2 linked regions of the Arabidopsis thaliana genome follow. The protein of the gene in region 1 purifies or fractionates together with the protein of each later gene. This does not show direct contact. Each region holds a gene or a part of one and is shown in the gene's direction. Other genes may lie near its edges.

Evidence for each region. Proteins that work in one complex are often made in the same cells at the same time.
Region 2: the proteins of PYL13 (region 1) and HAB2 fractionate together in Arabidopsis thaliana (co-fractionation; one study listed by BioGRID). This does not show direct contact.

What each region holds. Positions count from the first base shown.
Region 1 is NC_003075.7:10,252,396-10,255,764, forward strand, and holds PYL13 (PYR1-like 13), read left to right. Parts: upstream 1-1,963; coding exon 1,964-2,458; downstream 2,459-3,369.
Region 2 is NC_003070.9:6,031,866-6,037,979, forward strand, and holds HAB2 (homology to ABI2), read left to right. Parts: upstream 1-2,404; 5' UTR 2,405-3,051; coding exon 3,052-3,795; intron 3,796-3,993; coding exon 3,994-4,344; intron 4,345-4,439; coding exon 4,440-4,545; intron 4,546-4,739; coding exon 4,740-5,074; 3' UTR 5,075-5,533; downstream 5,534-6,114. Other genes in the region: AT1G17540 (kinase with adenine nucleotide alpha hydrolases-like domain-containing protein), read right to left, coding at 1-139, 229-350, 450-547, 620-776; AT1G17545 (Protein phosphatase 2C family protein), read left to right, coding at 1,244-1,259, 1,442-1,644, 1,723-2,043; HLL (Ribosomal protein L14p/L23e family protein), read right to left, coding at 5,770-6,114. UniProt on the Arabidopsis thaliana protein: Key component and repressor of the abscisic acid (ABA) signaling pathway that regulates numerous ABA responses, such as stomatal closure, seed germination and inhibition of vegetative growth.

The sequences.
Region 1 (3,369 bases):
GTTTGTTACAAATCGGAAGTTTTGATCTATCATATCTACTGTAGTTGCTAATTAACTCGGCTTACTTGCGCCCGTCTCATTTTCTTTGAGTGTAAAAATTTGTTGATCATCAATAAATAATTTTACTGATAGAGATAAAAAAAAATAAAAAATTTGACGTATTCTTTTCTGTTAGACCGGATAAATAGACATTCAATCAAAGGTTTTTTTTTTATTAACCTACAAGGTAGTGAACTCCATTTGTTAGAACAACTTCCATTACCTTCGAACTTTTTTTATTCTTAATAACACAGAAAGTTGTGATACGGTTGCAAAACAATTTATCAATGGTGCCGATAAGATTGTTCAGAGGGTGGCAATGGGCATTGGTTTCACTTGCTTACCATAAAGAAAGCAAGTTTGAGAAATACCAAAATTGCGATTCTGTTTTTGATTGTGACTTGTGAGCCCCAACAATATATGTATATATTTCAGCTTGAGCTCAATTCCCATATATGCTACAACTCTAAGACGCAATTTATGAAAATTTGGATTTTAAATAGTCATCATGTCCATGTTTCTCGAGATGGATATCTAAGAGAAGAATAATTTGAATTTTATAAGTTTATTAAGTCATATTTTTAATACTTAAATCCAAATATAATTTGTTCCATGTATTTTATTTTTATTCTTATAATACACTTATGGAAATCTATTCTATTTTACTTCATATCTTTACCCATTTTTAATTTGCAATTTACCTTTATAATCCACTTATAAATATATATAAAAAAATCTATTACATTTTATCTCATGTCTTTACAGATTACACATTGGAATTGAGTTTTTTTTTTCATCTAAAACTTTTGTTATTTATATAACCATGGAGGTGACACAATGCCGGCCGTTAAACATGATCTTAGTCTAGGAAGGCTAAACATAAAACCAAAGCCAAGAAAAGGACTAACAAACGGACTGGATAGTTTGAAACCCAAAACCAAAACAGAATGGATTTTGTGCTGTGTGGGGTGAAGCATAAATGTATAAATGGAAAATATCATCATTAAAGTTTGGGCTTATACGGGCCTTATTTCTAATAGGCAATAGACTGATGGAACATTGAATATGCCTACCCTGGATATGTAGAACTTGCATGGCTCTCGGATTGGATACGTAGAACATTACACTTATGAAGGAAAAAAGATTGGATTCTTTTTTTTTCTGGTCGGCAACCAATTAAGAGAAACACTGTTATGTTTGTAAACAAGTGTGTGTTTCGCTAAATTCCATTGTGTGCTTTTCCGGTTTAAATGACATCTGTATTTACCTCGTGGGCAATGACACATCTATCTATATTTAGCTCCAAAACATTGCTGCAGCAAATTTCCAAAATAGACCGACTAGATTTTAATATAATATTGGTAATTTTTATCAGTTGGTAAGATATTTAATTCTTCGTGAAAAGATACTCGTATATCTCTCTTTCTGTTTAAATGGTTGATATAGTCAAAAGAAAAACCTTCAAAGAGGGTTTGTTAAAACCATATTCCCTATCACTCTTGTCAGAATACCCTTCACAGATGGTTTTGTTAATCTTTTTGATAAAACCAAGTTCCAGAATATGCAAGCCTTTTATCAAAAAGCAAAAGAAAGTTTCTAAATATGCCAACAAGATTGTGTAATTTTTCACTATACAAGGCAGTCAATACTTGTGTACAAGTTTATATTGTAAAATGTTTTTTGGTTAGTATATAGTAAGAAGAATTCGAATCGAACTCTAAAGTTTAATATTACATGAAGAATTCGTAAATAAATTAAACAATATAAAACACTATAAAAATATTTTAGTCGGTGGCTTGCCTTCATTTATATGTACGTAGATTCGTTCGATATGCTTTAAAACAAGTGAATACGAAAATTCTAAAGTAAGACACGAAAATACACGTCGATAAAAGACAAACCCATTAGAAAAACAAAACAGAAAATGGAAAGTTCTAAGCAAAAACGATGTCGCTCTAGCGTAGTCGAGACCATTGAAGCACCATTACCACTAGTGTGGTCCATCCTACGTAGTTTCGACAAACCACAAGCTTATCAACGTTTCGTCAAAAGTTGCACCATGCGCTCTGGCGGCGGCGGCGGCAAAGGAGGAGAAGGAAAAGGCTCCGTCCGGGACGTGACGTTAGTCTCCGGCTTCCCGGCGGATTTCAGCACGGAGAGGCTCGAAGAGCTAGATGATGAGTCTCACGTGATGGTGGTAAGTATTATTGGCGGTAACCATAGGCTTGTTAATTACAAATCGAAAACGAAGGTGGTCGCGTCGCCGGAGGATATGGCAAAGAAGACGGTGGTGGTGGAGAGTTACGTGGTGGATGTGCCGGAAGGAACTAGCGAGGAAGATACAATATTTTTTGTTGATAACATTATTCGGTATAACCTTACTTCACTTGCTAAGCTCACAAAGAAAATGATGAAGTAAGCTCTATATGTTTAAGCTAATCAATAAACTAATCGTAGTTATAGTTATGAATCATTGGATTAAGAAAAAAATGGATCGTTATGGATTAGTTTTTAATCTTTAAGGCTTTTAGCATTGCAATAATAATAATAAAAATATAAAGAATCGGAATAATATGCTCGTGTGGTTTCTTTCTTCCGTGATTGTAATTGTCTCTTTTCTCCTACTCTTTTATGAAGAGAAATAAAATGAAGGTTATTTCTACATTTTTACAATTAGGAATCTTTGAAATAATGGTTTTAAATTGTTGACTCAGTTGGTTTAGTTACTAAATATACTGATTTGTATTGCTGACAACAAAAGTTAGACTAAATACATGTTTGAAAATTTTCTTGATAATTCTTTGTCCATTTTGCATAATGCATAGTAAAAGGGCATCATGTAAGATTCTTAATTTGAAGTTCTAAACTAATTAATATCAATACTTTAGTATAATATTATTAGGTTGGAAGGTATTTTACACTCAGAACAGAAAGTATGATGACCTAAACTGTAGATCTCGTGAATTTCATGGCCGTTTGACTCAAATCTGTTCGGAGGTTATGAATTTATGATGTCCGTTGAATCATTGAGCTGTTGAACTAATGGAGTGGTTTACTCTATAATACTTTGGTGTGTTTTTATCAAAAACCGACCGAATCAACAGATATAATTTATTTTGAACAAGTTGGTGAAAGACAAAATAGAGGTTCTATTGATCTAAATATAACGGTGAAGATTGGAAATTTTCATGTTTTTTCGGGAATTGGGCCTTTATGAATGGACTATTGGGCCTTGCTATTTCAAAGCTTGGGTGTTGGTGGGGCTTGCTATTTCAAAGCTTGGGTGTTGGTGGGGGAGTGTGAGTGGTTGCCACGTGAAGGATACTTATT
Region 2 (6,114 bases), on another chromosome or scaffold:
CGTGTGAGGACCTTGAGGTGTCTGAGGCCGACTCGCTGATCTGCTTGTTAAGAGCTTCCCTTTAGACACAATGAAGACAGCACATGTATCTGGTGTTGTTTTAAGCAGAGTCGTTGGCACATCTACGCTCTTAAACTTCCTGATTAAGACCATAAATCACAGAGAGTTATAGGATTTAGCATTCAGATTAAGATTACAGTTTAGGTTATATGAGAGAAAGAAAGAGACTTGAGGAAAGAATTTCGAGCAGAGGCTCCAATGACTATATTTGAAATGGAATTGTTGGTGATGTAGTCAACAATTGCACTCGAGATGTCAATATCGTGAAGAAGAACCTCCGTTGCTATAATCTGAGAGAAAATATATAATTAATGAGGTCGGTGAGAGCTATGTGTATATATATATATATATGTGATTGTTGTAAGGAGAAAGAGAGGTTGATATCTGACCCCTTTCCGAGCACAGAATCCTCTAAAGGGAAGGAAGAACTGATGCGCCTCTTCTTGGTTGTCATGTGGTGCTTCTGTGTTTTCTCCTGCCCCAAATCCTGTTTCAAGAGTTTTCATTAGATTGATGGATTGATAACAATGATGATGATGATGATGATGCCATTACGTACTCAGTTTGGTTTGAACATGGAGAAGGATACAGTTTGGAGAATCGATGATGATATTCTCAACAGCCCATTTCAAAGCGTGTTGGCTGTTCTTATCTTTATCAATGGCTATGGCGGTAACTGCTTTGCTGTCTTTTCCTTTGAGTCTTCTTGCAGCCATTGTTTCTCAGCCCTCGAGATGATTGCTGGAAACTTTTGCTTCTGGAGAAACTAGAAAGACATTGTGGTACGGTCTTTCAATTACCCTCAGAAGGAGGAAATAAGGAGACCGAATGATAATGAAAATGATAACAAGGAATTAAGAAGAGAAGAGGAGAGGAGAGCTGTTTTGTTTGTTGAGAAAATTTAAACTTATAATGGTTTTGGCACTTTGCTAAAATTAGAAGGTTTTTCTTTTCTCCAACAATCTAAACAGTCATAACGAACAGAGAGGCAGACAAAAAGAGGATTTTTTTAATTTTAGTTGACGACTTATCTTTAAAGGATATTCCATATCATATCTTGTAGACAAAAAGAGGATTTTTTATTTTTAGATTTGTGTAATGGCATCTTATATTGATATATATGTAAACTAGATAAATTTGGAATTATAGGCAGTCTTGATCTTTTAGAAGAAAGAAGAAGACCATGAGGAAATCCAAAGGTTGAAATTAGTTTTATAATTGTTTCGACGAACGTGTTAAATATCTTGGGGTAACCTGTTTGGTTTTGAAAGGGCAAAAGGGTTTGAGTTTGAAGGACTTTGTCTTTTGTGTGTGATTCATGTCGCTGATGAGGAGGACCTTTGATATTTCAAAGAAACCATATGGAGTATATAATATATAGCTAATAATGATTTTCGTATAACAAACAGCCGTGTACAAGCGAGTGTGGAATTTAATAATAGTTGTGGACGCTACAATGGAAGTGGAATAGAGGATCATGGGCGAGTTCTTGCTACGTCCATTATCCTGAATGATGATGCGGTTCCCACAACACAAGTCCTTATTACTACAAGTCATCATGATAATGTAGCAAAGAGGAAGGAGGTGGAGTGTCTATGAGCTAGAGTGTATACCTCTTTGGGGCACTGTGTCAATCTGCGGTGAAATGGAGGATGCTGTTAGAGCTTTATCTCATTTTTCAAACTACCTATCAGAATGCTTATGTGTGATCATGAAGGGATAATAAGTCCAACGCTCACATGTCTCACTAGTCACTTCTTCGGAATTTATGATGGCCACAGAAGAAGCAGACCTGTTTCTGGTTCTGTTTCTTCTGATGATAGGATGGTTCTTCAGGCTGTTTCCCCTGAGACCGTCGGATCAACTGCTGTTGTTGCTTTGGTTTGCTCATCACATATCATAGTTTCCAACTGTGGTGGTTCAAGAGTGGTTTTACTCCGCGGCAAAGAATCCATGCCTTTATCAGTTGATCAGAAAGTATAAAAGCTGAGACAGAGCTAATGAAGTTTCTTACCTTAATGTAAACAAGTGGACGCTAGAGCCCATATAAGTGACGCTGACTGGGCCTTAATGTAGGCCCATTTCAAACTTTGGTCTCCGAGAAAAGTCTTTCGTTGTCTATTTTTTAACCACGTTATGATAACACTACATGTGTCATGAGATGCATGAACATATGTCATGAACATACTTTCAATCTTGGATCAAAAAACTAAATTAGAAGAATAAACAGAAGACTTGACCTTTAAGAGGGAAGGACACGCGTCATCTATGTTGCCATTATTGAATAGATTAATAAATTAGTTTTATAATTGATTGGAGCAACGTGTTAATAATGAAGGTCGTTGTCACATAAAGAAACTTGGGATTCCGTGGAGTGCTTATAATTTTTCTAATTTTATTTTTTGGGTAAAAACCTCATTAGATCCAGGAGAACCCATGTTTCGTTTCGTTTTGGAAAGATAAGAGAGATAAAGGTTTCGACTTTTTTAGGTTTTTCTGTGTGTTTTGTGATTCATTTCGCTGATTGATATCAATTCTCTCTGTTTGTTGTCCCTTCTCTTCAATTTCACCTGACTTTTGTTTTTGTTTTGGATAAAGTTTTCACCTTTGTGTCTTCTCTCTGCTCTCTTGTGTGATCTATCTGAAAAAGGCTGATTTTTTTTTTGTGGGTTTCTAAATTAGGGTTTGTGTGAGTTTATTGTCTTTCTGATTCGATGAAGATCAAGAGTTATAGAGGATCGTTAGAGTGATCAAAATCCCACGAATTCACAAAGGATCCGTCTTCATAGATCCGTCAGATCTGTTCAGCGGAGGTACATACTTCTTCGTCATTCACTGCTTTCTGGATTAGTTGGTGAGAATAAACGGCTGGTGGGTCTCGGTGGGAAGCTGAATTGGATGTAGAGTTCATCAGACTATAGCTTAGAGAAGAAAATGAAGTTTTTTGAATCGTTTTGCTCCAGTTGAGGTTTGGAAGCTGCATACCAGCTCATGGAAGAGATTTCACCTGCAGTTGCACTTACTTTGGGTTTAGCTAATACGATGTGTGACTCTGGAATCTCATCTACTTTCGATATCTCCGAGCTGGAGAATGTTACTGATGCAGCTGACATGTTGTGTAATCAGAAAAGACAAAGATATAGTAATGGAGTGGTGGATTGTATTATGGGAAGTGTTTCAGAAGAGAAGACTTTATCTGAAGTGAGAAGTTTGTCTTCTGATTTTAGTGTAACTGTCCAGGAATCAGAAGAAGATGAGCCATTAGTATCTGATGCGACTATTATTAGCGAAGGTTTAATAGTTGTGGACGCTAGGTCTGAGATAAGTTTGCCAGATACAGTTGAAACTGATAACGGGCGAGTTCTTGCTACGGCCATTATCCTAAACGAGACAACCATAGAACAGGTTCCCACTGCAGAAGTCCTTATTGCGAGTCTGAATCACGATGTGAATATGGAGGTGGCAACTTCTGAGGTAGTCATTAGGTTACCTGAAGAAAATCCTAATGTAGCAAGAGGAAGCAGGAGTGTTTATGAACTAGAGTGTATACCTCTTTGGGGCACGATTTCAATTTGCGGTGGAAGATCTGAAATGGAGGATGCTGTTAGAGCTTTACCTCATTTTCTCAAAATACCCATCAAAATGCTTATGGGGGATCATGAAGGGATGAGTCCAAGTCTCCCATATCTCACTAGTCACTTCTTTGGTGTATATGATGGCCACGGAGGCGCTCAGGTATGCTGTAGTTCGTAAATCCTTATACTGATTTTAGCAGTAGAAAGTTAATTCAACTATGAACCCGGAAGATACATGAGTTTATGTTTTGTTGACGTAGGTTGTATGTATATATGATAAAGGGTTTGCTGGAAACGGGATTCTTTGCAGGTTGTTATGTAATATATGACGGCTTTGGTGGAAATCGGATTCTTGCAGGTTGCTGACTATTGCCATGATAGAATCCACTCTGCTTTGGCTGAAGAAATCGAACGGATTAAAGAGGAATTGTGTAGGAGGAACACTGGCGAGGGTAGGCAGGTCCAGTGGGAGAAAGTCTTTGTAGATTGTTACCTAAAAGTCGATGATGAGGTTAAAGGGAAAATCAACAGACCTGTTGTTGGTTCTTCTGATAGGATGGTTCTTGAAGCTGTTTCCCCTGAAACCGTTGGATCGACTGCTGTGGTTGCTTTGGTTTGTTCATCGCATATAATAGTCTCAAACTGTGGTGACTCAAGAGCAGTTTTACTCCGAGGCAAAGACTCCATGCCTTTATCAGTTGATCACAAAGTAAAAAATCTTCTCTTTCCCTCTAAAATAATTTAACACAATCTGAGAAAGTTTCTTATTTCTAATTCATGAAATTTCTTACCCTTTCTCTGCAGCCAGATAGAGAGGATGAGTATGCACGAATAGAGAAAGCTGGAGGAAAAGTTATACAATGGCAAGGCGCTCGTGTTTCTGGCGTTCTTGCCATGTCCAGGTCCATCGGTAGGTCAAACTTGCACTTATGTCTTCCATCTTGCCTAGTGACAGAAATATGAAGAGAGTTTTATAGGTCAAAATTATCGATAAATTAAACATTCAGTAACCTTATTTAGAGATGAGGATCATTACTACCTGTTACAGTCTCTGCAAAATCATGAGATCTCCTGAAAGTGGGTTTCAATCTGCATCGTTTTCAGGTGATCAATATCTGGAGCCATTTGTAATACCAGATCCCGAAGTGACGTTTATGCCACGAGCTAGAGAAGACGAGTGTCTAATATTGGCCAGTGATGGACTTTGGGACGTAATGAGTAACCAAGAAGCTTGCGATTTTGCGAGGAGGCGGATCTTGGCTTGGCACAAGAAGAATGGAGCATTGCCTTTAGCTGAGAGAGGTGTAGGAGAAGACCAAGCGTGTCAAGCTGCGGCTGAATATCTCTCCAAACTCGCTATTCAAATGGGAAGCAAAGACAATATCTCAATCATAGTGATCGACTTGAAAGCTCAAAGAAAGTTCAAGACCAGATCTTGAAACAGTGTATGCTCGAGCTCTTACACTATTATAATTTTATTATTTCTTATTTATTGAAAAAATTTCCACAAGTTTACATAAAAATAAGAAGTGAAATGTTGGGGGGAAGAAGAATTAAGACCTTGATGCATAGCTGAAGTCCATTCCTTTTTCTCATGGACTTGAATGTGTATGTTTGTTATGTATAAGAAGAATAGAGAAGAAATGTTTTTACTTTGGAGTCTTGTAGGTGGATATGTTGTTGTAATATTGGAGATGTGGCTTAAGGAATTGTAACTGAAATTTATGTCACATTCACCTTAATACTTTTCTGTAATCTATTATATATAAATACTTGTTGTGAAAGAGTTATTATTGTCTTTTCTATTGTTATTGTTATACAACAGGTAATATTGATTCCAAAGTGTTTAATGAGGGATGCTGTATCAAACATGAAAACTAAGTGAAGGGTTTGGAGAAGGATGGTTGTTTAAAGCTATTTCCCCTGCTTTTTTTACTAAGAGAGTAGAGTTTAACAATTAAAAGAAACCTAAATAAGAGATCATAATTGGTACGTTAAGGTTTCATAATTCATTAGAATTAACAAAAATAATGAGTTGGATAGTTGAAGAATCAACAGAAACCCAAGTGATGAATGGATCAAAGAGAGTCACATAAAGGAGATCATAACTGATGTTTTAGTGTGGTGTATTGTCTCAAACAATGTGCTGAGCCAAAGAAAGGATCTTGAGCTGTTTCCTGAGGCGCATCTCGTGCGGGACAGGACCAAACACTCGGGTACCAGTCGGTTGGTTGTACTCCATTTTCCTCTTGGAACCATGTGAATTATTCTGCCCTTTCTTTTCCTTAATGCCAACAACTACAATGGCATTGTCATCAAACTTGACTTGGCTTCCATCAGCACGTCCTTTAGGCATCGCAGCACGCACAACCACACCGTACACGACCATCCCTTTCTTCACTTTACCTTTTGGGATAGCGTCTTTCTTTACTTTTTTTTGAACAATTGGGTTAGCTTCTTTCACTGAACCAACAATGAT